Callithrix jacchus: one gene and its partners. The protein of the gene in region 4 interacts with the protein of the main gene of each other region in a biochemical or structural test. Links are inferred from orthologs where the notes say so. Each region holds a gene or a part of one and is shown on either strand. Other genes may lie near its edges.

Region 1 (4,439 bases), on a different chromosome or scaffold from region 4:
ACCCCTTTTCTACTAAAAATACAAAAATTAGGCCAGGCGTGGCGGCTCACACCTGTAATCCCGGCACTTTGGGAGGCCGAGAGAGCAGGTCACGAGGCCAGGAGATGGAGACCATCTGGCTAAGATGGTGAAACCCCGTCTCTACTAAAAATACAAAAAATTAGCTGGGCGTGGTGGCACCAGCCTGTAGTCCCAGCTACTCTGGAGCCTGAGGCACAAGAATCGTTTGAACCTGGGAGGCACAGGTTGCAGTGAGCAGAGATCGTGTGACTGCGCTCCAACCTAGGTGGCAAGAGCAAAAACGCCATTTCAAAACAAAAACAACAACAACAAAACAAAAAAAGAGGCTCCAGTAAACAGTAAATACCATTCTCAACTATTCTGAAAATTTTTGCAAATTTTTTTTTATTATCGCTGGAAAACAGCTGGGTTTTAAACTACATTTTAGTCTCTATTCCATGAAGAGGCTCTTTTAATCCCTAAAGTCAAAACATTACTCTAAAACCCTCAAGAGTTGACGGAACAATGTATTTCTATCTCGTCACCTTGTATCCTCATTACCACTATTTGTATCCACCAATATTCCACACCAAAAAAGGCCACAATTTCTCTGATGTTAAAATTTACTGATAAACTCAACAGGTTAAAATTACTTATCAAAGTGTGGCTAAGTGATTAAGCTCTCTTTTAATAAAACTGAGCTGAGTAAATTTTAACATGGTGGTGCTCAAACTGCCTCTGCCACTATCTATACAAATTTAGTTTGGACTGAAAAGTGACAAACATGACCATTCACTAAAGGAAAGAGTAATTAACACTTTTAAAAGAACTACAAAGGATTTTACATAGTATAATTCAACAATTTCGTATCATATCTGCTGACGAGATCACAAACATTGTCACTATGCCATGTCCTTCCTGGAACCCCACTGGCTCCTGCAGCTTTATTCTTGACTTTTTCAAAGGTTTAAACCACTTGGGGCTGCTGAAGGAGGTATCAAGGAAGCATAATTTGTGAACCCAAGCTGAGAAAAGGGCAGGAATATGGGGTTGAGTCACGTCGTTCCGCCATTTTCTAAGCGGAGGAGGAAGACATGTTGGAACAAAAACACAACAAAAGAGCAGCCATTTCCCAAGCCAGCTCCAATAGCAACCCGAAATGACACTGCCCTGTCGCTTCGCCACCTTCAAATCCACTTCACTGAGCAAACCTCTGAACACCAGACATGCCGCCGTAAAAAAGGCAGCAGTCAAACCTTCCGCGTAGAGATCAAAGATGACCTGCACACTTTACTGCAAATGAAAGCCTCGGGAAGAGGGAGAAATGACGGAAGCGAAATGGGACACAGTGTAATACAATGAAATTTTAAACTAAGTTAGCAAACTGAAATTTACTCAGTGATTGCGATAACTGACTTACAGGAAGCCACTAGCTGTAGGGAACCCAGGTAACTGAAACACCAAGACCTGGATTCAGCTGGTCTCCTTACCTGCCTCTACCCACTTCCCCATTCCGTGCTTCCCTCAGCAGACCGCCTATATGCACAGGGTTCTTACCGTATGTGGGGGATGCCAACCCCACCTTGAAGAATCTTATAGAGCTTGCTCTCGTACAGCAACTGGGGATGCCTGGCCTTCTGAGATTCTAGCTTCACTGCCACTTCCTGCAGGGGAAAGAGGGATGATGGCATCAACATCCCTACGGATTCAATGTCACTTAGGAAAGGAGGGAGAGACATTAGCAAAACTCCAAGTCGCGACTACAGGGAAAAAGCGAAAGACTGGAAAGAGAAAGCTCTCTGTAATTATAAAATGAGGCAACCAGCCTCTTCAGGGGGTAGTGACGAAATCCCTACCTCTTCTAAAGTGCAGGAAAATGATTCATCCAGAAAAAAAGAGGCAACCTCTGAACGTAATGAGAGGTTTTTAAGGAACTAGGCGATCGGAAACTGTTCTAATTGGAATAAGAGGCCAGCAGAATTAAAAATAAAATAAAATAAAAGCATGGGAATCACAGAAATAGGATTTTGCCGTTTCCACCTTAAAAAACGGTTAAAAAAAAAAAAGTTCAACTAAGGGACATTTATGGGACGTGTTTAACAAGCTGGGAACCTTCCCCAACCTTTCTATCGGGTTCTTGATCCTTTTAGGGAAAGAGCGGGGGAGGTTCAAAAGCCAGGAAAACTAGCTCTCTGGACTCCCTGACGAGTGCGTGCGGTGGGGAGAGGCCCAAGCACTTTAGGGGTGCGCGGTGGTGGGGGCGGGGAATGAGGAAATGCCCAGCGTTATCGTCAACCCTACCCCAGGTGATTACCTCGCCGTTGGTGATGTTGATCGCCAGATAGATGTCCCCGAAGGAGCCAGACCCGATCTTCCGTACCAGTTTGTATTTCCCTCCGACAATGAATTCGGCCTTGGAGCCGCTGCTGCTCGCCATCCTGAGAGACGAAGATGGAGGCTGGGGCCAAGCCCCGACACCTCTGAGGGGAAGACGGAGACCTCTCGAGCTCCTACACCGGGCAAGGCTACGGAGGAAGGCAGCAGGAAACGGAACACAGAGGCCTTTACCGGCGTTCGGGGCCCAGAATCAGCCGAGGGGAACCTGATCACCACCGCTCAGTCAGGTTTCTTTTTGCCAGGCCGCACTTTGTGAAGGGCTTCTCGCGGCTACCAGGCTGGGCCACTTGTTCTCGTTGGCGGCCGATGCCTGCTTGAGCGGCGACGTCGCGGGCAGGAAAAGGGGCGCGGTGAGCTAGGGCGGCGATACCACTGCCAGCACTGCTGCTGGCTCCGGCCCGGAGGGACCCCTGTCACTCCGCCGACGACGCCATCTTGTTACTCCAGCTCCAGCCAACACAAAATGCCCCCAGTCCCCGGGAGCCGCTTCTTCACGGCGCAGAGCACTCTGGGAAAGGGATCTCGGGCGCTCGCTCCGGAGGATCTGCAGCCAGAGGGAGGGCGGAACCGGATCCGTGAGAGTCGCGGCCCACGCTCCAAGCGTCACCTCGTCACCGCCCAGCTGCGCATGAGCACTGTAACTCCTGCTGACTGCGCAGGCGTGCCGCGGCTGGTACTCACCCCGCCCCAGGCTCTCTTCCACTTCCGGTTGGCGGCTGTTCAGCCGGTGCTACCTGTTACCACGGACCCGCCCGGACCCGCCCGGTCTCTGGAAGGCTGAGTGGCCTCAGGCACCGATGTCAGGGAGAAGTCACCTTCCCGTTTCCTAACAGATAAAAGCTTCAGGCCTCCTTAGGAGTTTGGTATTGACCTTTGCTCTTTGTTTCAGGAGGTTTTTTTTTTTTTTTTTTTGAGACGGAGTTTCACTCTTGTTACCCAGGCTGGAGTGCAATGGCGCGATCTCGGCTCACCGCAGCCTCCGCCTCCTGGGTTCAAGCAATTCTCCTGCCTCAGCCTCCCGAGTAGCTGGGATTACAGGCCCACGCCACTATGCCCAGCCAATTTTTTTTTTTGTACTTTTAGTAGAGACAGGGTTTCACCATGTTGACCAGGATGGTCTCGATCTCTTGACCTCGTGATCCACCCGCCTCGGCCTCCCAAAGTGCTGGGATTATAGGTATGAGCCACCGCGCCCGGCCTGTTTCAGGCGGTTTTTAATCTTTGATCTTCTGGCCGCTCCCCCCGACCGGCCTATTGCAACCAAGTTTCTGTTTGGAAAGAGGCTATCGCCTCTGGTGGAGAAGAAGAGAAAAGCAGCCCGCGTATCGGGCTGATCGAATCGTTCAGGGCTCTCGGTTGTAGCAAAGCCCAGCTAATTACCCTTCATAAATAGAACTGTGTTCTCTACTACGGAGTGTTAGAGACCCTGTTTGCTCAGGAGGGGAAAAAAGAAGCCGGAATCCTCCTACCGTCCTTTGTCTTTGCATTATTGCCCCACTACCACATTTGATCTTCATGAGAAAACCGGGTATCTTGCCATAATGAAGATTAGTAATAGGTGGAATCAACAGAAAATTAACAAGAGTGAAAAAACTGTTCTAGCCCTCCTCCCAATCCCACCAAAAAAACGAAAAAAAAAAAAAGAATCATATGTTGGTCATATGGAAAACCTCAATATTAACCTTAACATATAGCAGAGGTAACTGTCGCAAAACATAATTGACAACATTTAAAACCATATGGTAGCCAGGGGCACGGTGGCTCACGCCTGTAATCCCAGCACTTTGGGAGGCTGAGGCGGGGGTATCACGAGGACAAGAGATCAAGACTATCCTGGCCAACATGGTGAAACCCCATCTCTACTAAAAATACAAAAATTAGCTGGGCGTGATGGCAGGCGCCTGTAGTCCTAGGTACTCAGGAGGCTGAGAGAGGAGAATCGCTTGAACCTGGGAGATGGAGGTTGCAGTGAGCCAAGATCATGCCTCTGCACTCCAGCTGGGTGACAGAGTAAGACTGTGTCTCAAAAACAAAACAAACTA
Region 2 (4,100 bases), on a different chromosome or scaffold from region 4:
AGGGCTAGGAGGAGGCAATGCTGGGGGCCAGAGCAGCCTGGTTCCCCAAAAGCCCAGGCTCCCACCAACTGCAAGTAATGTCGTGCAAACAAAAATGTAATACAAGTATTAATGGGGACTAACTCCTCAGTGAAAAAAAGAAACACAGGTTAAGAGAAGAGTGATAGAACAAAAAGAAATGGAAAGAGACTGCAGTATGCAATGATACACTAATTAACATGCTGGACGCTCCCAAAGACCTTGGGATTCTTAGGACCAAGTGGGGCCAGTCTCAGAGCCTCCTAATGGATGCAAAAAAGATGCACCTAAGGAAGCCCGGACAGGTGCTTTTCATTTTTTTTTTTTGAGGGCGGAGCACAGGGAGCATGAAGGGGAGAGGGAGGAGGAAAGGAAGGCCAGGGTGGGAGGATGGATCAGCTAAATCTGAGGGAAGGAGGAGGAGAGGAGAGGGACTATTGCATAGCAGATGCAAATGAAGGGACTTGGGGCTAGTCAGGAAGAAAGGGAAAGGAAAGGAAGGCAAGAGAGAGGAGGTGAAGGGAACCTCAGGAAGGGGTGTTAAGGACAACCGGAAAAATCTTCTAGTAATAAAACTACAAACAGACCAAATATATATAATATTATATATGTATAAATAACAGCTGGCTATTTACAGGGGGACACACAGACACACACGGATCCAGGGGAGGGGGACTGAAAGATATGGCTGAGAGGTGGAGGAACGGCTGAGGGTGGGGGGAGAGGCCCTTCTCTAGGCAGGGCAGACTCCTCGGGGATTTAAGTGCTGAAGTAAACTGTGGAGAGAGAGGAAGAAGATAAGGAAGGAGGAGAGGGGAGGAGGAGAGAAAGAGAGAGAGAGAGAAAAAAAGAAAGCAGTGTGTCAGGCCTGGCCCTGCTCCAATCCTCCCCACTCCCCAGCGGGTTGACACCCCTTCCCCTCTCTTGGCCTCAGTTTCTCCATCTACAAAGCAGGGGGCTAGACAGGTAGGTTCTGAGGTCCCTTCAACTCCATGGTATGGCCATGAGGCCACAGATGCTAATCCTCTGAGCCTCTGAGACCACAAGTTCTCAAATCATGGGGTGGTTGTCTTCCTGGTCATGTCTCAAGCCCCTGGGCCTTTCCTTTCTCCCACTCATCAGTTTCAGGGTTCTTGGACTGGGCTCTTAGGCCCAAAGGGTCCTTAATGGATACATCACCTTTCCTTTTTCCAAATGTTAACAAAAACTGTCCAGAACCAGGCAAACTGCAAGCTAAATAACATCAAAGTTTTTGGCTCTAGATGAATCAGAATTGCCATTAGCAGCTACGACTGTTTTTGGCTGAAGAGTAAAACTAGGTTAATGACCTTTAAAACCCAGAATCTACTGGGGGAACCTCCCCGGCCATTCCCACCCTACTCACCTATGATGATGATGAGGATGATGGCGCAAATCACTCCCAAGATGATCATCATCTGGGGATGAGAGGGAAGGATCAGTGAGACGAATCATGATACTCCATTCACCTGCCAGTCCCCTATCTGTCCCCACCCTTACCTTGAGGTTTTTCCACCAATACTTGCGCTTGAGCTTGGCTGCACTTGTTTCAAACTGGGAGGCCCCTGCCTGGAGCGCGTCTGCACGGTCATCCAGCTCAGATAGCTTCTGGTCTCGCTCCAGGACCTTGTCCACGTTCACCCTCATGATGTCCACCACCTGGGAGAGGGGCCCACGAGGCAGGGGGGTGTGCCAAGGCCCACCTCAGTGAGGGCAATCCTCAAACATGTGCCCACCATGCCATGCATGGAACATGCACCCTGATGCGCCAGGTTAACATGCCAAGGACACACAGAACATGCCTAGCACACCTGGGGACATGCAAGGAGCACACATCAGGGGCATGCTGCTGACATCTCAGATGTCACAGCAACACCCTCTCTCTATGGAGCCCCAGGCGCTCTGTCCATCACCAGAGCACACCTGCCCAGGCTGGCACACCCCAGGCTAGCAAAGCTGATTAACATCCCTAGTGCCCTTCCAGGTGCGTGCTGACAGGGAGACAGGGATGGGGCATGGTATCTTTGTCCGCAAACCCACAGGTGTGAAATGTCATCACTCCCAAACCAACATGGGCCCCTACACCTATATGCCAATCCCCAGGGTCTTTCCTGCTGCCTTTGACTTCCCCCACACTCACCTCATCCACCTGGGCCTGGGTCTGCTGCAGTCTCCTGTTACTAGTGAGGTTTGGAGGGGGCGCAGGGGGGCCACCCTCCCCAGCTGGGGCGGCAGGGGGGGCCGTGGCAGCAGTAGCAGACCTGAGGAGCAGGGACGGATTAAGATCCAGGGCCTGGAGCCTCCCGGCCCCACAGCCAGGGCTCCGCCCATCCACCTGTCCATCCTCGTCCCTCCAGTCCTCCTTTTCGGGAGGAAGGCCACCCGATGAAAGCCCTGGTCTCGGTCCAGCCCCGCCACCAATGGCTGCGTGACCTTGAGCGAGCCCCCCTTCCCCCGGCCTCAGTTTCCCCGCCTGTCAAATGAGGGCGACCTCATAGATGCGATAGGGGTCGACCCGAAAAGACAGGCGGCCGCGGCGACAGGGGCGGGGCGGGGCAGGAAGACACCGAGTCAGCTCCTTCCCGCGGCCGTCGCCCGAGCCGGCCAGCCCGGGACGCGGGGCTCCTCGGCCGCCTGCGCGCAGTCACCGGCTTGGGCCTGGCCCCGGGTCGTGGGGAACGCGGGGGACGCGGACGAGACCCCGGGCACTCCCCGAGGCCGGTTGCCAAGGGCGGCGGCCGGCGCGGGGAAGCGCGGCGGGGGTGGCGGGCAGCCGACTCACATGGCGGGGGCAGCGGGCGGAGGACTTGGCAGCGGCAGTGATGGCGGCAGCGGCTCGCGCTGGCTCCGACTGGCGCTGGCTGCCCGGGACGGGAAGATGGCGGCCGCGCGTCACCCGCATCCGGGCACTGCAGGCGGGGGCGGGGCTCCGCGGGAGACGCATCGGGAGCGGGGCCGGGGGCGGGGCGCTGCCGTGTTGGGGTCGTGCCGGGCGGGGCCGCGGGCCTGGAGCCCCAGCGCCGGGGTAGCTCCTTCACCACTCGAGGGACCCCAAGGTGGACTGTTGCGGCCTCCCCAAACCCACCGCCACCCGCCTCTGACCACAGCCTCCCACAGCCGCCCCCAAACTCTCCTTAGTAAGGACACACTGCAGCCCGACCCCACACCTAAGCCCCAGACCACCCCCCGCAATCGTGATCCCAGTAAACCAGCCAGCACCCCACACAGCCCAAGGTCTCTCCCCGCGCCCAGGCCCCAGCACCGAGCGACCCGCCTTCAGCACTTGGAATGGGCTGGGGTTGGGAAATCAGAGGGAGCTAGTGCAGATGCTGGGGCAATGCCAAGAGCGGGGACCCTGCTGCTCGGGTGGTGGGGAGTGAGGGAGGTTAGTCCCACCCCATCACCCCGCTCGCTGGTGGATGTCTCAGAGGAAGCCTGGGGTCCCTAGCCACTGGGTAGGAGGGTAGGAAGAAAAGATGAGGCAGGCTCTTCCCGCCCAAACTAGTCCGGGGAGCGGGGGACGGGGAGTGTCTACAGTAGGTGAGGAGGGGGCTGCCCCGCCTCACGACTGAAGTTCAGACTAGGGGTACTTAGTTGCTGGAGCAGGGCCGACGGAGGTGGGCTGAGGACCCCAAGGAGGAGGAAACAAGGCTGCCGGGAATGGTGGGTTGGTGGGGGCTGCTTCACGTGGTAGGTTGCTGGCTGGCCAAGACCTAGCTTTGCCCCAGGCTTGGGTCAGCGACCCCGACTGCAGGCGAGGGCTCAGGCTTTGGTCCCAGGCACGGGACCTGGGCCAAACAAAAACAAAAAAAGCCTTTTTCTCTCATTTTTTTCTCTTTAATAATAGGCACAGGGAGAACAGGTTACAGGGTGCTACTTTACATGCGTATTCACCTCGCAGGTGTGACCTTGGACAGTTGCCCTCCTCTCTCTGGACCCCAAATATATTGCACATGTAGGTACTAAATTCCTATTTTTTAAATGGCTTGATGTGGATATCGTGGTAGGAGATCACCTACCGCTGATCCATCTGGGGCTGGTCTCCATTAGGACCTCTAGGTGCA
Region 3 (4,102 bases), on a different chromosome or scaffold from region 4:
GTGCTCGTAACCCCACAGGAGCCGGCTCGGGGGTGCCCTTCCACTGGCACGGGCCTGGGTACTCGGAGGTGATCTACGGCCGTAAGGTCAGCCCAGGGTGGGTGTCGGGGCTTGGGTGGATGACCCAAGTGGGCAAGGGTGACGCTGCTGCCCCTGCCCACAGCGCTGGTTCCTCTACCCACCTGAGAAGACGCCAGAGTTCCACCCCAACAAGACCACGCTGGCCTGGCTCCGGGACACATACCCAGCCCTGCCGCCGTCTGCACGGCCCCTGGAGTGTACCATCCAGGCTGGTGAGGTCAGTGGCTGGCAGGAGGGACCGGGCCAGGTCAGAGGCCCGCAGCTGATCTCGGCTGCACCCCCTTCCTTCACCAGGTGCTGTACTTCCCCGACCGCTGGTGGCACGCCACACTCAACCTTGACACCAGCGTCTTCATCTCTACCTTCCTTGGCTAGCCGTGGCAGCCGGCAGGCACTCCTGTCACACAGAGCACTTCTTCCCCAGCTTGTGCTCACGGATTTTATTACACAGACGGTGGCCGCAGCCCAGCCCACCCTCACCTGCTTTTCCAGCCCAGAATGGGGGACGGGGAGGATCACAGCCCAGCAAGAGCTATGCTGAGAGGGGAGCCGTCCAGAGCCCAACAGCAGAACTGGGGGGAAGGGAAAGGGTGGCCAGGGACACAAGCTATGTACAGGGGCTGGGGGCTTCTGCCCGTGGCCCTCCGGGGCCAGGACACTGGGCAGGGCGAGGAGCTCAGTAGTCCTCCACCCAGCCGTTCTCAGAGATGAATGCATCAATGACCTCCTTCATAGCCAGGTTGGGAATGAGCTGTTCCTGCGTCAGGGGGCTCCGGGTCACAGGGTCAAAATGGCCTACACGCTGCAGTGACAAGAGGCAGAGGCTGCTCAGCAAGCCTAGGACCCTGCTGCTGGCCCTGCCCACCCCCTGGCCCCAGCCTCACCTGCAGGTGCTCCTCGATGTCCTTGCGGTCGTAAGTGATGCCACTGGGTGTGATGCACGGCTCCCGCATCAGCTCAAAGCTGATCTTGCCACACAGGTAGTCAGGGATGTCGCGCTTCTGTGGCACATGGGCACAGGGTCAGAGGCTGGGAAGGGGCTGCTCCAGGACCTACCACCCACAGCAGCACTCACCTTCCTCTTCTCATCCACCTGAGAGAAGAGCTCATCCATGTCCGCCATGTATCTGTCCTGTGGAAAGTTGAGCAGTGCTTGGGAGGGACACCCCACTTCCCTCCTCCGTGGTACCCAGACCCAACACGAGGCAGGGACACACAGACCCACAGCAGGGTGGGGACGCTCCCGTGCCACGTGTGCACACACACAGACCCACATGTGGATGGGGGCACCCTCACGTGCTTGGCCTCAATGCAGGCCTGCTGGGCCCGGACGTGACTGTCGTCCTCGTCACCCTCGTGGTTCTGCTGGCACTCTTTCAGCTCCCTGGGGGATGACCAGGAGCCCGTCAGAGACGGACCTGGCCAGAAGATGTCTGACCACACCCCAGACTCAGGGCTAACATCCAGGCTTCTTCCCCACATGCACTGCTCGCCAGTAAAACTTTCAGTAAACATTCGTGTTGGCGGTTGGTTATTCAGAATTATCCCCAGACAGCGCGGCCTGGGGTAAGGGTCCCACCTCTCACGCTCCGCCGCAATGAGCCTCGAAAGGTAGGAGTGCAGCTCACTCTCCTGGTGGATGCGCCGCTCCTCGATGCTGTTCCAGCGCTTCTTCTTCGCGATTCGCAGAGCGCTGGGGATGTCGTCCCCAAAGTTCAGTCGCTGCTCCTTGGCCAGGCTGTAGGCTGGGGAACAAGGGCTTCCGGTCACGCTGGCCAGTCCAACCGCCTGGTCCCAGGGGCCCCGCACCCAGGCAGCTTGTCGGCCAACCTCGCTGCAAATTGGCGATGGCCTCATCATAGCTCTCCATCTCCAGCTGGCACTGCCCCAAGAAGAAGTGCGCCTTCACAGACTGCCCGTCCAGCTCCAGGGCGCGCCGGCAGTCGGCCAGGGCCTGCTCATGCTGCTGCATCTTCAGGTAGCACAGGGCCCGGTTGGTATAATACACGGCCACCAGCGGGTTCCGGGTCTAGGGACCAAGGCCGGGCCAGCCGCATCAGGCGTAGGCTCAGCGCGCCCCCTCTGTCCCAGGGCCCGTCCCAGCTTCTGCGATCTGGCTACGATCAAGAACCTAGACCTCTCAGTAGCCAAAGCCTCTGGGTCCAAGGATCTGCAGACACGGGACTACTGGCTGAGCCTACACACCTCACTCCGGTTGGTTCTGTAGAGTTTTCCAAATCTTTGGAGAGTCCCAGCTTTGGACCCTGGCCTCCCACCCACCCGGCCGGCCTCCATCTAGCATCCCACCCTCGTTCCCCGGCACCTGGCGCTGGGATCGAGAACCAATGCTGGGCTTTCGGAGCCCAGGATACCCGCCGCGGAGGAGCCAGACCCTCGGCGGGGCCGGCCGATCGCGGGCGTGGCCCTCCGACTCGCCGTCGCCGCCTTCCCCACGCGGGCGCACTCACGATCGCGCGGCCGTAGCAGGCCGCCGCCTCCGGGTACTTTCGGCCCACAAACAGACGGTTGCCCTGTTCCTTGAGCTCCTGCGCGCTCGGGCTCTTCTCCGGGCTTCCGCCGCCAGCGCCCAGCCGCGCGCCGCCCTCCTTCTCCTCCTTGCCCTTCATGGCGCCGAGCGGCACGGCCTGGGCTGCGCTCCCAAGCTCCGCGCCTGACGGCCCTGCACCCGAAGCCCGAGCCCGAGCCCTGCAGCCCGAGCCCACGATCAGCTCGGGCCCGGCCCAGCTCCGCCGCCGGAACTTCCGGCCGGGGGCGGGATCGGCGGGGACGCAGGCGTCGGGGGGCGGGTAGGGCCGCGCGTGCGCCCAACCAGCCTGGGCGGGGACAGTCGGCCCGCGACGTAGCTGGCTGCGAGGAACGCTCCGGTTCCCTGGCCCCGCGTTTTTCAGGGTCGGCATTCGCGGAGGCCAGCCCCGCCCCGCCCCGCCGAGGCCTCTCCAGAACTGGCCTCGGTGGCGGCCGTCCCATATATCCGGTTTTCTCCGTGAGGTGCCTCAGCCTTGGTTCGCTGAGGGCGTGCTTCCCTAAAAGCCTGTCCCGCCCACGTGGGATTCCGCCCCTGCCCCAACCCGTAAAGACCCCATCTGCAGAGGTCCCGCCCCCAGCAGCCCGCCCCGCCCCCAACAACAGGCCGCATCTGCGGCGGTCCCGCCCCCGGCACCCGCCCCCACTCCCAGCACCTGGCCCATCGGCAGAGGCCCCGCCCCCGCAGCCACCCCCATCGGCGGAGGCCCCGCCCCCAGCACCCGGCCACGCCCCCATCAGTCAGCCCCGTCTGCAGAGGTTCCGCCCCTGGCAGCCGGCCCCGCCCTCGGGGGGGGGTCGACTCCGTTTGCAGAGGTCCCGCCCCCAGCAGCCGGCCCCTTCCGCAGAGGCTCCGCCCCTGAGAGCCGACCCCTCCCCTCCACGTAACATGGCGGCCTCCCACGCGCTCTGGGGCTGTGGGGACCCCAGCGGCTTGCTGGGCTGCCATCCTGGAATGCCACCGAAAGGTGCTACGAGCGCGCGCGGGCCCCCGAGAGCGGCTGGAAGCCGTGGACCGTTGGTAGACTGGTAAGAGATAAAGGGATCCGTGGGGCGAGTGTCCCCGTGGCCGGACCTCCCCTCACCCCCTTTTCCAGGTAACGGGAGGAGTTGCTGGCGGCCATCAAGGGCCGAGCGGAGAAGCACGTGACGCGAAGGGAGCTGGAACGGCTGTTAGTCTAGAGGCTGCCGGTGGGGTGCGGCCCCGCCTCCTCGTGTGCGGGGCCTCCGTAGGGCGGGTCTTCAGGGAGTGGCGTCGGTGGGGCGGTGCTTCCTCGTGGGCGGGGCCTCCTAGGGGCGTGTCTTCGTGGGGGCGGGGCTTTGTCGTGGGGCGGGGTTCCTGGAGGGTCCACCACTCCAGGCATCCTGACCTGGCCTCCCACAGAGAGGCCGCTTTTGGCCATGTCTTCAGCAGCCTGTGGCCACCAATCCCCTGAGCTGGTTGTGCACCGCTTGACCTCCGCCTTCTGACTCCTGC
Region 4 (3,672 bases):
CAGAGTTAATAGGTAGTTGTACCAAATTCTAGCCTAAAAGACAAAGAGCAACACTGCTGTGGACCCTTTCTGGTCTTGGGCTGTGTGGCTATGGCAGGCTTCCCCACATTGCCTGAATTAAAGAGAAAGCCTCCTGTCCTTACAGACCTTTAGCTTCTATGACATACATAATGTATTTGAAAACAAATTGCTTTGCCCACACCATTTAACTATGGGCTTCTTCAACTGGAGAGATGAAAGCTATACAGTAATCATGTGAATAGCACTAAACAGCTGACATGGTGTAACTCCTCTCAGACTGTGGCTTATCTGGGGAGTACAAAGCATATCAAGAAAATGTGCCTTCATTTTTTTAGACGAGCACCTAAGGAAGAATATAACTAACCTGTCCCCATCCTCCACTTGCCTCCACTGTTATACTCTTTGCTTCTATGATATCAACTCTTTTTTTTCTTTAGATTCCACATAAGTGGGATCATGTGGTGTTTGCCTTTCTGTTTCTGGCTGATTTCACTGAACAAGAGAATTTTTGACATGACATTAAATTTCCGCTTATAAACCCAATTCAAATTATTTACATTGTCTTCTAAAACATTAACTTTCTAAAATAAATCTACTGAATGACCATATCACATTTTCTTTAATGAAAAGAAATTGTTAGGGTGCTCAATTGCCTCTTCATTTTCATACTGTCTAGCTCCTTTGCGCCTATCAAAATAACTGCAAATTTTGCTTTTTAAGAACACTTCTGTTTCACTACCTGAAGTTCTATAAAAAGATCCAAGTTCCTTCACAGCCATCTCTTATACTATTAATCATATATATGTGATAATACCGTGTCTGAACACATTGATAAGTATGGGCTGGGCGCAGTGGGTCATGCCTGTAAAGGAGGCTGAGGCGGGTGGATCACCTGAGGTCAGAAGTTTGAGATCTGCCTGACCAACATGGTGAAATGCTGTATCTACTAAAAATAAAAATATTTTTAAAAATTAGCCAAATGTGGTGGAGGGCACCTGTAATCCCAGCTACTCAGGAGGCTGAGGCAGGAGAATTGCTTGAACTTGAAAGGCGGAGGTTGCAGTGAGCCAAGATTATGTCATTGCACTCCAGCCTGGGCAACAAGAGTGAAACTTCGTCTCAAAAAAATAATAATAAAATAAAAAAGCTCAGAAGTATGTACTGTGTTGCTAAGAAGGTGTGATGGAAATAAACTTGCTGTGTGAGATCAAAGGACTGACACTGAATTGAAATAATGAAGTATTCATACTGAGTCTGGTTCAACTATAACTGCACCTGTAAGCGTTGCTTTCTCTAAACTTTCCTTAGGATAAAGCAAATCCAAATCACTCATGGCTTTACATTCCTGATCATTAAACTTGAAGCACTTTTAATACTGCATGATTATAGCAAAAACATCTTAGCCAAGATTCAGTGTTTGTTTGAACCACACTGACTTGGAAATCTTGGTTACTGTGTTTCTTCTGACCCCTCAGTTGTCTTTGGCATGTGTAAATACAGGTGTATAGAAGTTGATGGCTAGTGGAAGTGGAATGATTTTAAGTCAGTGTTACTCTACCACCCTTTAATCTGTTGTTGTTCTTGATTTGTACCAGTGGCTGAGAAGACCAAAGAGCAAGTGACAAATGTTGGAGGAGCAGTGGTGACGGGTGTGACAGCAGTAGCCCAGAAGACAGTGGAGGGAGCAGGGAACATTGCAGCAGCCACTGGCTTTGTCAAAAAGGACCACTTGGGCAAGGTATGGCTGTGTACACTTTGTGTTACATTTACAAGCTGGTGAGATCATGGTTCATTTTCATGTGAGGCCTGGAGGCGGGAGCAAGATGCTTACTGTGGGAAATGGCTACCTGACCCTCCCGTTGTGAAAAAGTGCTACCTTTATATAGGTCTTGTTTTCTTCAGGCATTAACCCAGATAAACGCCATGCAAATGGTACAATTATCATGATTTTTTCAATTTCTGGAAGAAAGCTAATGAAACAAACAATTTATTAAAATGCCAAAGGAACAGTGTGACATTTCAGAAAGAATGAGTGCTTTCATGTTAACTATAAGTCTTGAAATTTCTCTTCATTGGAATAACAAATCTCTTTGTGCCTAATTTCTTAATTTCCAAAATAGAGTTCTTTTACTTGATTTCTTTATAGTGACATCATCTCTTATTAAATGGCATATTTGCATATTACTTAACAGTTCATTACCAAATACATGTTTGTGGGAACTGAGAGACTTAAAACACATACCAATCAGAGATCATACTTTTGAGGTAAGTTTTAAAATTCTGAGAAGAATTTTGACTGAATTTTTTTTGACAAATATAGGACACAAATAAGATTTTACCAAAGATATTATAACTTTCATTTTAAATATGGAACTAATACAATATGAGGTTCCATATTTAAAATGGAACTAGCTCTAACCTATGTAAAATTGGTGTCCTCCTCACCTCTGGTGTGCCCAGTCTCCCTAGTCCCTTTCTTTTCTTTTCTTTTCTTTTCTTTTCTTTTCTTTTCTTTTCTTTCTTTCTTTCTTTCTTTCTTTCTTTCTTTCTTTCTTTCTTTCTTTCTTTCCTTCCTTCCTTCCTTCTCCTTCCTTCCTTCCTTCCTTCCTTCCTTCCTTCCTTCCTTCCTTCCCTCCCTCCCTCCCTCCCTCCCTCCTTCCCTCCTTCCCTCCTTCCCTCCTTCCCTCCTTCCCTCCTTCCCTCCTTCCCTCCTTCCCTCCTTCCCTCCTTCCCTCCTTCCCTCCTTCCCTCCTTCCCTCCTTCCCTCCTTCCCTCCTTCCCTCCTTCCTTCCTTCCTTCCTTCCTTCCTTCCTTCCTTCCTTCCTTCCTTCCTTCCTTCTGGTGTGCCCAGTCTCCCTAGTCTTTTTCTTTCCTTCCTTCCTTCCTTCCTTCCTTCCTTCCTTCCTTCCTTGCCAAAGTGTTCATCACCTTTAAATACAATAAATAATATGCTTACTTTAATGTATGTTGTTTATTTTATTTTTCCCTTCTAGAATGTAGGCACCATGAGAGTGAAATATATTTACATTTTTTACTGATAGTTCACAAGTGTCTAGGAGAGTTTCCAACTTGTACTAGACAATTTACAAACATTTATTAAATTAGGGAAGGAAGGAAGGAGATAAGTGAGTAAGCAGAATGACTTTTATTTCTGCGTCTTTTATAATCGTATGCTTAGTATAAGAACAGTGCTATTCAGCCATCCACTAGTTCCAACCAAAATGATTTTGGATGAATATCTTGAAAATTGTGAGAAAGAAGTTTTATTTGCTGGCAAACTATTCTGAGTTGTTTCCACTTCATGTAATCCTAGGTAGCAGTCTTACCTTGATAGCCCATTAAAGCACTTATAATAAAAAGGCAGAACAAAAATATCTGTGATATATTTAAATTTAGTACATGTAGTTACATGTCTATTGTCTGGTGTGATGAATGCTAATTATGGCAAATCCTGACTGGGCTTCTAGTGAAGTTCTTCAGCCAATGCTTGAATGCATTGTTGGTCATGATGGTACCCCTTTGTACAAAATATGCTTTTCAAATGATCTTATTAGGGATAATAATTTTAGTCCTGGTTTTCATCTAAAATTATAATTCTATTTATAGCTTTGTAAGATTTCACAAGGTAAGAGGGACCTCAGTTTAAATTAG
Region 5 (3,672 bases), on a different chromosome or scaffold from region 4:
CTCTAATATATACAAATTACCACTTGTTATTATATAAAACAAGTTCAAATGAGAATAAGAGGAAAAAGCAAAAATCTGGTCTTTGTGTATTTTTATAATTTGAATAGTTAAGATCATTATTTTAACTAAAACATAATCTTGGTGATTGGTATCTATTAAAGAAATTAATGCTGATAACACCTCACCCTTGGCAACAGTTTCACCTGTAATAGTTCCTTTTAAGTGTTTAGCAAAATATTTATTTTCTCTTGTTGCCATATCTCTTGTTGAGAAAATTTTTAACACTGAAAAGTCTAGAAGATAATGTAGCAGATACACATATTCTTTATTCAGAATTACCATCATTAATAAGTTACCATATTAATTCCTAGAAATTTTATTTTTAAAAATAAAGTCTTGGCCGGGTGCAGTGGCTCAAGTCTGTAATCCCAGCACTTTGGGAGGCCGAGGCGAGTGGATCACGAGGTCAAGAGATCGAGACCATCCTGGTCAACATGGTGAAACCCCATCTCTACTAAAAATACAAAAAATTAGCTGGGCATGGTGGTGTGTGCCTGTAATTCCAGCTACTCAGGAGGCTGAGGCAGGAGAATTGCCTGAATCCAGGAGGCGGAGGTTGCGGTGAGCCGAGATAGTGCCATTGCACTCCAGCCTGGGTAATGAGCAAAACTCCATCTCAAAATAAAATAAAATAAAATAAAGTCTTAAAGATTAACCTAAATTTCTTTTAGCCAAGCTCTTGGTTCCGTTCCCCAGGGGGAACCACAGTCTTGAATTTGTTGTGTATTCTTCTAGCATATTTTATATACTTAAAGAGCTTAGAAAATGTAAATTAAAATATGCTGGGTGCAGTGGCTCACACCCATAATCCCAGCACTTTGGGAGGGTGAGGTGGGCAGATCACAAGGTCAGGAATTCGAGGCCAGCCTGACCAACATGGTGAAACCCTGTCTCTACTAAAAATATAAAAATTAGCTGGTTGTGGTGGCACGTGCCTGGATCCCAGCTACTCGGGAGGCTGAGGCAAGAGAATTGCTTGAACCCAGGAGTCACAGGTTGCAGTGAGCAGAGACTGCACCATTGCACTCCAGCCTGGACAACACAGTGAGACTCCATCTCAAAAAAAAAAAGTAAAATATTGTTTATATGCCTGTGTTTCTAATTTTGCAACGAGGGAACACTCATTTTATAGAATGAGGTGCTGCTCGATTAAAAAAAACCCTTTTTTTAATTGATGTTGTGGCCCCATAAGTCTACATCTTTTTTTGCTTAACACTGTTTTAAAGCTCTGTGTTGTTATTTATAGATGCAGTGTATTTCTCTTAACTACTAATATTCCATCATATGACTATATTACATTTCAATTTCGACTTCTGTGGTAGATATTTGTCATTCATTTTGTCTGCCTGACATTTGAATCTACTTCTCTGTATGAGGAACCCCCCATCCTATAAGTTTTGGGAGAATAAAGACAACCTCCTACTATAGGCACCATAACTCCACTTGCAGCTAGGGCTTGAGCTTGTGGACCTTGCTCCCTCAGTCAGATGCACCCACAGCAGACTGTTAACTGCTATCTCACTGCTTGAGAATTAGTTGAGAAATTATAAATTATTATTAAAATCAAGTTTGACAAAATAGCTTATTGGAAAAATGTTATTAAATGTACTGCATTATTAAAATGTTGGGAAAATATTAATATGCCATAACTACATTTGAAAAAGAACCTCAAATGTTTAGAGTCTCTTTAAAGGAGGATGTGTATTGCATTTGCAGGTTAAGTTACCTTTTTAACTGCTGCTATTTGTGAGTTCTCTATAAAATATTATAATATGATTTCATAAATATGCTAGGCCACAGTGGAGACCAGTCAGCTGACATCAAGCCAGAGTTCTGCTGGCCCTCAGTCACAAGCTTCCACAAGTGATTCAGGCCAGCAGGTGACCCAGCCGTCTGAAACTGAGCAAGGATTCCTTCCTAAAGGCTGGGAAGTCCGGCATGCACCAAATGGGAGGCCTTTCTTTATTGACCACAACACTAAAACCACCACCTGGGTAACTCTGATACTCTTCCATTTAAATTTATAACAACAATAATCATCTCTTATGTATAGTTCCTTATCATCTTTAAGTGTATATTAGTATAACCTATGTTTTCTAGGATTCATTGAAAAATATATTGAATTCTTAATAATATTATTTATATTCAGGAACACACTTACCCCTCTTTTTAATATTGTTTTGGATTATGATGGAGATACTCATGTTTACTTCCTGTTTCCAGTTGTTAGCCCACTAGCCATAAATGCTTAGGAAGATATGTAGGAATAATCCTTTGCTTTTATATGAGGCTTTCTAGCTCCAAAAAACTTTTGAATCCATATCTCAATATCAGAAAACCTTGCGAGGCTAGGTAGAGCAAGTTTTTTTTTTAAGGTAAGGCTTCAAGTTGTTTAGTGCTTGGCTTACCACTAGAAAAATTGCTCAAAATTAGCAGCAGATGAATAAATTTTAATTAATTATTAAAAGACCAGCACACCTTATTAATAATATTAAAGTAAAAATATATGTAAATTAAACCAAATACATTGAATTTTGTTCACATTTTTAACATTCTGAATTGACCATTAATAACCTCTTTGGGCTTACCTTCCTGTTATTCAAAAATATGAATCAACTTGAACAGATAGCTGCCAAAATGCATGTTCTGGGACTTAGAAATATCACGTGGTCCAATTTAATGCCCCACTCTTTTACCAGTTTTTACGTAGAGAAAACCCCTATAGAGTGACACATTTCCTAAAGAGCAGGCAAAGAGGTGACCAGTTAGCGGTGATCCCTGAGAACTGATCCTTATTCCTTTTGATATTATAGCCTGAGAGTGATAGATTTCAGGAGAAAATATTATGTCACATATTTAGGAAATAAAACACGAAAGGACTTTTACAAGAGAATATTTCAAACGTCCATTGATATTGGAAAACATGGTAATAGACTGACTTTCATTATTTTGAAATGTGTGTGTGTTGTTCTTTATTTACTCTACCACAAAAGGAAGATCCAAGATTGAAAATTCCAGCCCATCTGAGAGGAAAGACAGCACTTGATACTTCCAGTGATCTCGGGCCTTTACCTGTAAGTGTATAGAAATGCTAACCTCTCTTACTTGGCTATCTCAAATATTTTGTATTTTGGGATAGAGTAGTTCTTTATCAGCCTAATTAATCTTATTATTAAAATGTTGATACCTTCTAAGAATGGAATGGAATATGCAATTTAAATTAACCATACAATCAGTGCTATTTTTCTATCCATACATCTAAAACCCTATCCTAAAATAATTGAAATACATTCTTCATTATAGCCAGGATGGGAAGAGAGAACTCACACAGATGGAAGAATCTTCTACATAAATCACAGTATGTTCAATGTGATTTTTCATTATGTTATTTTTTATAATAAATTTTATATGTGAGAAAGAGCATCTTTTTTCTTTTTCTACCCTTCAGATATAAAAAGAACACAATGGGAAGATCCTCGGTTGCAGAATGTAGCAATAACTGGACCAGTAAGTCTCTTTGTACCAGTGTGCTCTGATGGGACTGTCCTCTCACCTGTCTCTTCAAGAGCAGATAGTCAAGGGCATAATCCTACAGGCATTGAGAGGAGAGCA
Region 6 (3,710 bases), on a different chromosome or scaffold from region 4:
AGGAGTAGATCCCACTGAAAAAGAAAACCTCAGATTTACCTCTTAGGTAACCTAACAGTTTAAAAGATGGGCCCAAACTGTAAGGTGGTTCCCATACCACTCCTCAACTACCATGCACCAGAAGGAATATAAAATGACTTATTCACAAAGTATTCCTCACTACTGGAATTAAGTGCTAGTACTGCCTGCGGCACTGGAAGTGTTTAGGCAGGTTTATGCTGAGTAACATGTTTAGCTGGTGCACACATTCTAATTCAGAGTTTTGCCCATATTAAGATAAACTTCCTGTACCTATTGACACTTAATAACAGACATCTGTTCACTCTGGCTTTATCTCCAAGCTAAGCAAGTTTTGAAGAAACACTTCAGAGAGAAATTGGATTTGGATTTTGTAGAAGGCTTATATTATGGTCGTAACTAGAATGGTGTTCCTATGCTAGATTACCCTGAACATTTATGATTATACTTCAGGTATTAGACATCCTAGAAACTGCAGTTAGAAAAAAATTGAAGCTCTGAATTTCTAGTATGCTTCTATCCTCAATGGCTTCTTGGCACTGCTTGGCATGACCCTATCAAAAAATGCCACAATGTGGTGATGAATTCTACCAAAGACAGGAGACCATTATTTCTGCTTTTTCATACTCTTTATTGCCAACAGTTTAAAATGATCAACATAAAAAAAAGACATTTTGATAATAAATACTGCTCTTTGGGCTGTAATAAATAAAAAGTTTATTAACAAGGAATGCACTTTTCCAGCCACAAGTATCTTCAAAAATTAATGAAAAAAAAAATTATATATGGCCATAGTTCACAGTTACGCAGCCAAAAGCTGCTCCAATTACAGCCTTTAAACAACATGGGAGCTTCCTCCCTTCTCCCTCCCCTTCAGGAAGTATATTCACAGTTCCAAGTCCTCTGGCTGAAATGCTCTCAACAGAGAGAATTTAAGAATCAATGCACCTTTCTGCAAAATTTTCTAAAAAAACCTGTTAAAACAGGTATCTCAAGGAAAACTGCATTCTGGTTCACTCGTGGATTATCCAAAGTCAAGAACTGGATGCCCTGGCCTGTTCTGGTTCCACCCAGTCCAGCAGGCCACAAAGGAATTGTTTTCGTACCACCACATGTCCATCTTCTTCAACATGCTCTAGATCATTCTACTGGCTTCCCTGTAGATCTCACAGTGGAAAAGAGGAGTCCCATAGGGTCTGTTCAAAAAGTCTTTTAGTTACATCTCTGTAAGAGCATGTTTAGGGCATATTCCATTCGATTTTTTAATTCTGATGAACAGCCAGACATCAGCAGAGTTGTCAATCTGAAAGTTGTAGATATCCTATCCTCATTGATATAAGTGAGAAGGTATTCTTCATTTTGGCTACAGATGATTATTTTTGTATGATCATGGTAGAAATTCACCTTAAAAAATAAACACAAGACATTAGATCTCTCAAAATAGTCAAGAATTAGAAAAGTTCAGTCAATTACTAAACTGCCTAGGTACAAATCTTTCTGTTTAGGACCTAAATGTGCACTGTCCTGCAGAGTTCACTTACCTGAAAGGTGCCATCATTAAAGAGCATCATCAGGGCCTTATCAGATTTTAGCCACTGAAGGAGGTAGAGCCGAGGTCTTCGAATATCAGTAACACTAGGCAGATCTCCACCCTGGAAGAGATGAGAGTGAGTTAGTGCCTACAAAGATTTTGTAGCATGTATTCTATTCTTATTCTAAGAAAACCTTTTCAAACTTAAGCATCAGAATGGCCTTGAAAATCCCTGCCTCCATCTCCCAGAGATTCTGATTCAGTAAATCAGGGGTAGGACAGGCGAATCTCTAGTTCTAACACTTCAAAGTGATGCAGATGCTATTGGTTTGTGGACTACCCTTCAAATGACACCACTCTAAAGCCGCAAAACTTACATCCATTAGGTTCTCCTCCATGTAATGAGAAAAGTATTTCAGCACCGTCACTTGACTAATAAATTGCTCAGGAGCATCTGTTGCTGAGAAAACTGAGCACTGGCCAAGCTCTGCGTAATAGTGAACTGTTCTATAAAAACAGGAATGACAGGGAGAAAAGAGGGAAAAAAACAGAAGTAGTTAATCACTGTTTTTACATTTCTTTAGTCCAAAACTAGAGAACTGACAGGATTTCATTAATCAATACACTTACTTTTTGTCTGGAAGGAGGCTCATATGAGCACCATTGTTGAAAAGGACACCCACGGTGTGGTCTGAGAGCTGGTACCCAAAGCCGTATTTGTTAGAGTAATCAACCCATTTGGTGACCCATTGAAAGGATGTGCTCAGCTGTTCTTTGGGAATGCAGTCAGCTTCCGGCATGTTTTCCAGACATCCCCGAAGAACTCTTGCCACTGTGTCTGCAACACTTCCCATAGTGCTGTCTTCAAGGCCTAAAACAGTCAGACAGAAATGTTTTAAGGTAAACAATATTTTAGCACTAAAACCTCAGGCTTTGGTAGATATTAAGTTTCACTCCATTAATTCTGAAGACATAGAACTTAGGATTATTTTCCAATTCCTATAACCTTGCTACTTCTATGTGAAATTAAGCTACAATGTAAATTGACTTAAATTATTATGTATTTAGCACTGGCATTTAGAGTTTCATTATTTAAAATGAGATTGACAACTACTTACATTCACTGCTGCTGCTGCAGCTACCAAGAGTCCCTCTGACTATCATCCGAATAGCATCCCCAATCTGCTGCTTGTTTTCTACTGCGGGTGTTCCAGACCTGACAACTGTGGTGGTAGGTGGCTGGAGCTCCTAGGAAGAAAGAAAAGTTATGCAATGAGTCAAGCATCAAAAATATTTAAGGCTGAGAATTCCAGATTAAGACGAGGGTGAGGCAGCTGCTGTGAAAGCTTATCAAAAACCAATGGACACAAGCCAGATAAAAGATAAAGCAGTAACTCACTTGCATGCACTATAAAACTAAAAGCCAATAATTTCCCTTTCAACGGGTTTGAAGAAAAACTTGAGGTAAATATGGCCATGATAATCAGAGTTCAAGTGCTAATTCATAAAGAGTGGAAATAACGTAAAGCATGAATATCTACTCTTCTCCAACCCACCTCATCTGTCCTGTGTTTGCTGGGTTGCTGAGTTATTGAAGTCTTTTTCAAATCATGCCTAAGCTTGTAGATGTCTTCATCTTCTTTAGACACTCGATCTGTATATCAAGGAATAAAATTACAAACATTAGTCTATCTTAACAAGGAAGGAAAAGGGTTAGCCACATTTCCTCATTCTTGCATTATTCACCAGCTTATAAGCATCCAAGGCAAAATAGCATTTTACCTTTGCCATTAGCTGCAACTACCCCAAAAATCCCTCTTTAATGTTTGTAAAATAAAAAGCTATCAATCACAATTCAAGTTGTGGATTTATTAAGCTATAAATATCAACATTTAAGAATCTGTGAATCTGGCTAGTTATATTAATATAAAATTCCCTTTTAACTGATGTACCAAATTTAAATATGATATTGTGTACAAAAAAGGAAAAGGAGTGTTATTAACTTACTATGTGTGTCAATATATCTTGCTTTGTCTTTTTTGCCACCAAAAAGAGCAGCAGCTGCTTTCTTAAAGAAATTCTTAGCTGGGCTCGATAAGTGAAAATCTGGAACTGTATGACAACAGCTAGACGATAGTCTGTCCGGAGTGAAGCCCTGTGG
Region 7 (4,280 bases), on a different chromosome or scaffold from region 4:
ACGTAGGCTTATGAAGATGTTTTTTCTAGAATAAACTACCACAACACTTGAGCTGATTATACCTTAGGGTGTTTACATATCCCTCTCCACAGGTCAGAAGCTGTACCCTAAGAAAATCAACTACTCTCATCTTTGAACCAGAAGCTTCCCTGGACCCACCCATACACCCCAGTGGGCTTCTAACCATTCCTACTTTCCCTCCTACCTGCCCCCAACCCAGGCTGTATCATCTGTGGTGATCGTCTTGAAGAACCAAGGAGGAAAATTGCACCAGAAAAAAAAATTGAGTCATTAAAGGTGTGAAAAGATTACATATAATTTATTCAGAAGCTAAGTGTTTTACAGGAGATGAGTTTGCACCTTCCACGTGAACTACACTTTTCATAGTTGCCCCAGCGGGCCCGTCTGATGCTTGATAAACCCACTCTAGGCAGGTGGGACTTGCTGTCTGGATCCCGGCTGTATAAAGAACAATGAGTATGGATTTCTTGAAAAAGACAAATATAAATTCACGGATGTCTTTATTCCTCCTTCGCCTAGGAATTAAATTCATTCTTCCTAAAGTTCAAATAGTTATCGCCTCTTTGAGGCTTTTACAACTCCCAGAGCGCTCTAGTAGCCCTCTCTGTGTTACAACTCTGTCTTTATTCATTCGCAAGTATTTGTTGAACACTTTTTATTTACGAGGCAAAGTCCTGGGTTCTAGGCATACATGGTTGAAAAGGTACACGTAATCTAGCATTGTCACGTTGCTTTGAAATTCAGTGGCTGTGTGTCTCACACTCCACCCTCTCGCTCAGTCGCAATGAATACTTGTTACACTGAAGGCAGGAATGAAGTCTTCATATTTCTATGCCCAGGAACTGAACTGGAATCTGATGACACTTGTTTCACGACTCCTCCTTACACTGCCACCACCTGAATAAGGCAACTGCCCTGTGCCCAGATGCTGACTGTGCTTTCTGATGTAGCAAATAGACGTTTTCAAGCACAGTCTCGGGAGGTGGAAAGGTCAGTCCTTTGGCCCCTGAAACTCCAATGAGTCAATGTTTAATGCAGCCACGAGTCTAGTCACAAGTAGGATTGTTTTTGACTGGTCCTTTGACTCACCGACCATTCCTGGCATTCATTTGCGTTGTGAGCTATGATTCTGTTTCTCCTGGTGTAGTCTGGGTATAGTGTGGAAGCCCCGATTTAATAATTTCCGACCTCATTAAGTGCCAGGTCACATTCCAATCTCCACGGCTTCATTCAGGAACTCCTTCCCCCGCCCTCTTCTTTGAGCATATATGCTACCTCACTCGCTCTACAGGTAGCAAGACCCGTTGTCCTTTAGGAATACGGAGGTTTACATCTTCGTTCTGAGGGTGGGGAAAAAAAATTGTTATCACTTTAAAAGTGTTCGCGCTTGCTAAGGTGCTAAGGCAGAAGCAGAGCTCGAAGCGTCGCGAGAACTGGAACCACGCGCAACTTCTCGCGATGTTTGGCCCCGCTAAAGGTCGCCATTTTGGAGTCCACCCGGCTCCTGGTTGTCCCGGCGGCGACTCTCAACCTGCTGCCGGGACCAAAGCTGGCCCCGAGGGTGTCTGGCCTGTGGGCAGCCGGACCGACACGATGTGGCGGCTCCGCTGCAAGGCCAAGGACGGCACCCATGTTTTGCAGGGGCTGTCCAGCCGGACCAGGGTGTGGGAACTCCAGGGCCAAATTGCCGCCATCACCGGGATCGCCCCCGGCGGTCAGCGAATCCTCGTCGGATACCCTCCCGAGTGCCTGGATCTCAGCAATGGGGATACCATTCTGGAGGACTTGCCCATCCAATCTGGTAAGGAATCAGGGCTGGGGCCAGTAAAGTCTCGGGAGGACGGAGAGGGGCGTGAGAGAGAATAGAAAGCTAGTTACGGTGGCTGTGGGTCAACTGGGGCTTTGAGACCAGGGGTGAGGATAGATCAAAGAACAGAGAACTCTGACGCAAGCCGGGGCAAGTGTCTAGCAACTCCTGGTCTTTACACAGGCTTGAAAAGCAACCCACAGCCTTGAAGTCCCCCTTACCCAATCCGCTTTCTGGTCGGCTTTGAAACTATCTGATTTTGTTTTCCCTCGGCGTTCACAAAAATAAAAAGAAGTAGGGCCTCTTTTCTCTGTCCTTATTTATGTCTCTTTTTCCCTATATCATCGATCAGGTCTTAAGGGTGCAGGATTTTTTTTTTTTCTTGGTTCATTTTTGCGGTCGCCTTCATAGATACTTCGTTTGATAGGCATATTCATTTTAGAGTTAGCTTTTAGACACCCACTGAAAGCCCTTTCAAGTTCTAACCAGGAGCAGTTTATTTCTGTGCCATATTAAAACTTGAACATCAGTGTTGATAATTAAAAGCTTCCAGTTGTATCAAGGACGCTGTAAACACTCGATAGAGTAGATAATTTTCCGGAGAAGGAGAACCCCCTAGCGGCCTACTTTGTAGTGAGCACCTTCTGTAAGATACTGTATAAGGAAATGAAATTTTGTTTTTGAATATATCTTTTTAAGTAAGCCTCAAGTTGTATACTCTAGACCCCTTGACTAAATTGGGGTGCAATCTGAAGTGTTTTTTGTTCTTTGTTCTTTTTTCATCTTTATGAAAATTCAGTGAATAAAAATTGTTACTGGTCACTTATTTGCAAAGCTGTATTCTTCTTAGTAACCCCAGTTTATGCTTTAACTCCTTCAGTTTGTAATTTACAGACGTGGCTAGTGAACACTTCAGTTTCTTCTGTAATTTCTCTGCAGTTCTGAATTCTTTTTTTTTTTTTAACAGGTGACATGCTGATCGTTGAAGAAGACCAAACCAGGCCCAAAAGTTCACCTTCACTTACTAAACATGGTGCTTCTAGTTACGTCAGGGAAACTTTGCCTGTGCTTGCCAGAACCGTGGTCCCAGCAGACAACTCTTGCCTCTTTACCAGTGTGTACTATGTCGTTGAAGGAGGAGTCTTGAATCCAGCTTGTGCTCCTGAGATGAGACGCCTCATAGCACAAATTGTAGCAAGTGATCCAGACTTCTATAGTGAGGCAATACTGGGAAAAACAAATCAAGAGTACTGTGACTGGATCAAAAGGGATGACACTTGGGGAGGAGCAATAGAGATATCGATTTTGTCCAAGTTTTACCAATGTGAAATATGTGTAGTGGATACACAGACAGTAAGAATTGATCGTTTTGGGGAAGATGCAGGATATACCAAAAGGGTTCTGCTTATTTATGACGGCATCCACTATGATCCACTTCAGCGGAACTTCCCCGATCCAGACACACCTCCTCTGACCATTTTCTCCTCTAATGATGATATCGTTCTCGTACAAGCACTGGAACTAGCAGATGAAGCTAGGAAAAGGAGACAGTTTACTGATGTCAACCGCTTCACCCTGAGATGCATGGTATGTCAGAAAGGATTAACTGGACAAGCAGAAGCAAGGGAACATGCCAAGGAGACAGGCCATACCAACTTTGGAGAAGTGTGATCTCTGCATGAATGAGGGTTGAAGCCTACTACCTCACAGATCCAGAAGGCTCTGGGTTTTCCAATAAGCTATTGTAACCCTAAAGAACAAAAGGACACAATGCTTGAACCATCCTTTTAACTTAAAACCACTAAGACACTGAAATTCCTTGTTAAGATTAAAATTAGTGTGCAAGTTTACAGATGTGTGTCTACAATGGTAGACTGTACATACATGCCTCTTTCTGCTGGAGTGACAGAGGTGATCCTTGCCACCTACTGACACTGACCTGAAGATTGAGATTTAGTATTATAAACTAGCACCCAGCAGCTTTAACTTTTAGAAGAAAACATCACATTCTGGGTAATGTGGAAGGCCTGTGAGGCCACTGGACATTTACCAGTGTCTCCAGTAACTGAGTCGTTTTAAAAACTGAATGAGTTAAGTTTCTAAATTATGAATTGATTCATCAAATGAAGATACTCAGAATTGTCCAAACTGATTTTATATTGCAATTTGGTAGACTTTATAAATGTGTGCTTAACCACTGATAAGTACATCACAAGCAATTTTTACAGGGATGAGTTTCCCTTGAGAATGTTATCACAAAACAGGAACTGATTGTGCCCTGTTTAAGATATCTAGTGTATAAAAAGTAGAATGTATGAGGGAAAAGGTGCCTGAGCAGCTTACTGAAGCTTTAAAAAGACCGTTGGCCTCGTGTTTTAATGCAATTCTTGTATTGGTTGTCACATTGGATAACATTTTGAAGTTAAGCAGGGTATTTTTTTAATTGAAATTC

Evidence for each region.
Region 1: of the proteins of SNCA (region 4) and CSNK1A1, one has a biochemical effect on the other in vitro, tested with the Homo sapiens proteins (3 studies listed by BioGRID). The link is inferred for Callithrix jacchus from reciprocal best matches to the Homo sapiens genes SNCA and CSNK1A1.
Region 2: the proteins of SNCA (region 4) and VAMP2 form a complex in vitro, tested with the Homo sapiens proteins (3 studies listed by BioGRID and IntAct). The link is inferred for Callithrix jacchus from reciprocal best matches to the Homo sapiens genes SNCA and VAMP2.
Region 3: the proteins of SNCA (region 4) and STUB1 form a complex in vitro, tested with the Homo sapiens proteins (2 studies listed by BioGRID, with this or other methods). The link is inferred for Callithrix jacchus from reciprocal best matches to the Homo sapiens genes SNCA and STUB1.
Region 5: of the proteins of SNCA (region 4) and NEDD4, one has a biochemical effect on the other in vitro, tested with the Homo sapiens proteins (3 studies listed by BioGRID). The link is inferred for Callithrix jacchus from reciprocal best matches to the Homo sapiens genes SNCA and NEDD4.
Region 6: of the proteins of SNCA (region 4) and PLK2, one has a biochemical effect on the other in vitro, tested with the Homo sapiens proteins (2 studies listed by BioGRID). The link is inferred for Callithrix jacchus from reciprocal best matches to the Homo sapiens genes SNCA and PLK2.
Region 7: the proteins of SNCA (region 4) and YOD1 form a complex in vitro, tested with the Homo sapiens proteins (2 studies listed by BioGRID, with this or other methods). The link is inferred for Callithrix jacchus from reciprocal best matches to the Homo sapiens genes SNCA and YOD1.

What each region holds. Positions count from the first base shown.
Region 1 is NC_133503.1:48,239,575-48,244,013, forward strand, and holds the start of CSNK1A1 (casein kinase I), read right to left. Parts: upstream 2,946-4,439; 5' UTR 2,438-2,945; coding exon 2,315-2,437; intron 1,665-2,314; coding exon 1,558-1,664; intron 1-1,557.
Region 2 is NC_133506.1:74,637,092-74,641,191, forward strand, and holds the start of VAMP2 (vesicle-associated membrane protein 2), read right to left. Parts: upstream 2,890-4,100; 5' UTR 2,821-2,889; coding exon 2,819-2,820; intron 2,298-2,818; coding exon 2,177-2,297; intron 1,696-2,176; coding exon 1,537-1,695; intron 1,455-1,536; coding exon 1,403-1,454; intron 795-1,402; coding exon 778-794; 3' UTR 1-777. UniProt on the Homo sapiens protein: Involved in the targeting and/or fusion of transport vesicles to their target membrane. Major SNARE protein of synaptic vesicles which mediates fusion of synaptic vesicles to release neurotransmitters.
Region 3 is NC_133513.1:2,940,315-2,944,416, reverse strand, and holds STUB1 (E3 ubiquitin-protein ligase CHIP), read right to left. Parts: upstream 2,831-4,102; 5' UTR 2,709-2,830; coding exon 2,550-2,708; exon of another isoform or gene 2,405-2,549; intron 2,111-2,404; coding exon 1,912-2,110; intron 1,827-1,911; coding exon 1,661-1,826; intron 1,594-1,660; exon of another isoform or gene 1,466-1,593; coding exon 1,378-1,465; exon of another isoform or gene 1,214-1,377; coding exon 1,157-1,213; exon of another isoform or gene 1,083-1,156; coding exon 966-1,082; exon of another isoform or gene 906-965; coding exon of another isoform or gene 884-905; coding exon 758-883; 3' UTR 507-757; downstream 1-506. Other genes in the region: JMJD8 (jmjC domain-containing protein 8), read left to right, coding at 19-86, 164-298, 376-456. UniProt on the Homo sapiens protein: E3 ubiquitin-protein ligase which targets misfolded chaperone substrates towards proteasomal degradation.
Region 4 is NC_133504.1:107,752,445-107,756,116, forward strand, and holds part of SNCA (alpha-synuclein), read left to right. Parts: intron 1-1,616; coding exon 1,617-1,759; intron 1,760-3,672. UniProt on the Homo sapiens protein: Neuronal protein that plays several roles in synaptic activity such as regulation of synaptic vesicle trafficking and subsequent neurotransmitter release.
Region 5 is NC_133509.1:43,627,804-43,631,475, reverse strand, and holds part of NEDD4 (E3 ubiquitin-protein ligase NEDD4), read left to right. Parts: intron 1-1,853; coding exon 1,854-2,054; intron 2,055-3,053; coding exon 3,054-3,134; intron 3,135-3,363; coding exon 3,364-3,418; intron 3,419-3,508; coding exon 3,509-3,567; intron 3,568-3,672. UniProt on the Homo sapiens protein: E3 ubiquitin-protein ligase which accepts ubiquitin from an E2 ubiquitin-conjugating enzyme in the form of a thioester and then directly transfers the ubiquitin to targeted substrates. Specifically ubiquitinates 'Lys-63' in target proteins.
Region 6 is NC_133503.1:151,413,933-151,417,642, reverse strand, and holds the end of PLK2 (serine/threonine-protein kinase PLK2), read right to left. Parts: intron 3,705-3,710; coding exon 3,557-3,704; intron 3,204-3,556; coding exon 3,106-3,203; intron 2,798-3,105; coding exon 2,668-2,797; intron 2,421-2,667; coding exon 2,180-2,420; intron 2,057-2,179; coding exon 1,927-2,056; intron 1,671-1,926; coding exon 1,560-1,670; intron 1,423-1,559; coding exon 1,231-1,422; 3' UTR 629-1,230; downstream 1-628.
Region 7 is NC_133520.1:34,559,484-34,563,763, reverse strand, and holds the start of YOD1 (ubiquitin thioesterase OTU1), read left to right. Parts: upstream 1-1,314; 5' UTR 1,315-1,479; coding exon 1,480-1,822; intron 1,823-2,795; coding exon 2,796-3,499; 3' UTR 3,500-4,280. UniProt on the Homo sapiens protein: Hydrolase that can remove conjugated ubiquitin from proteins and participates in endoplasmic reticulum-associated degradation (ERAD) for misfolded lumenal proteins.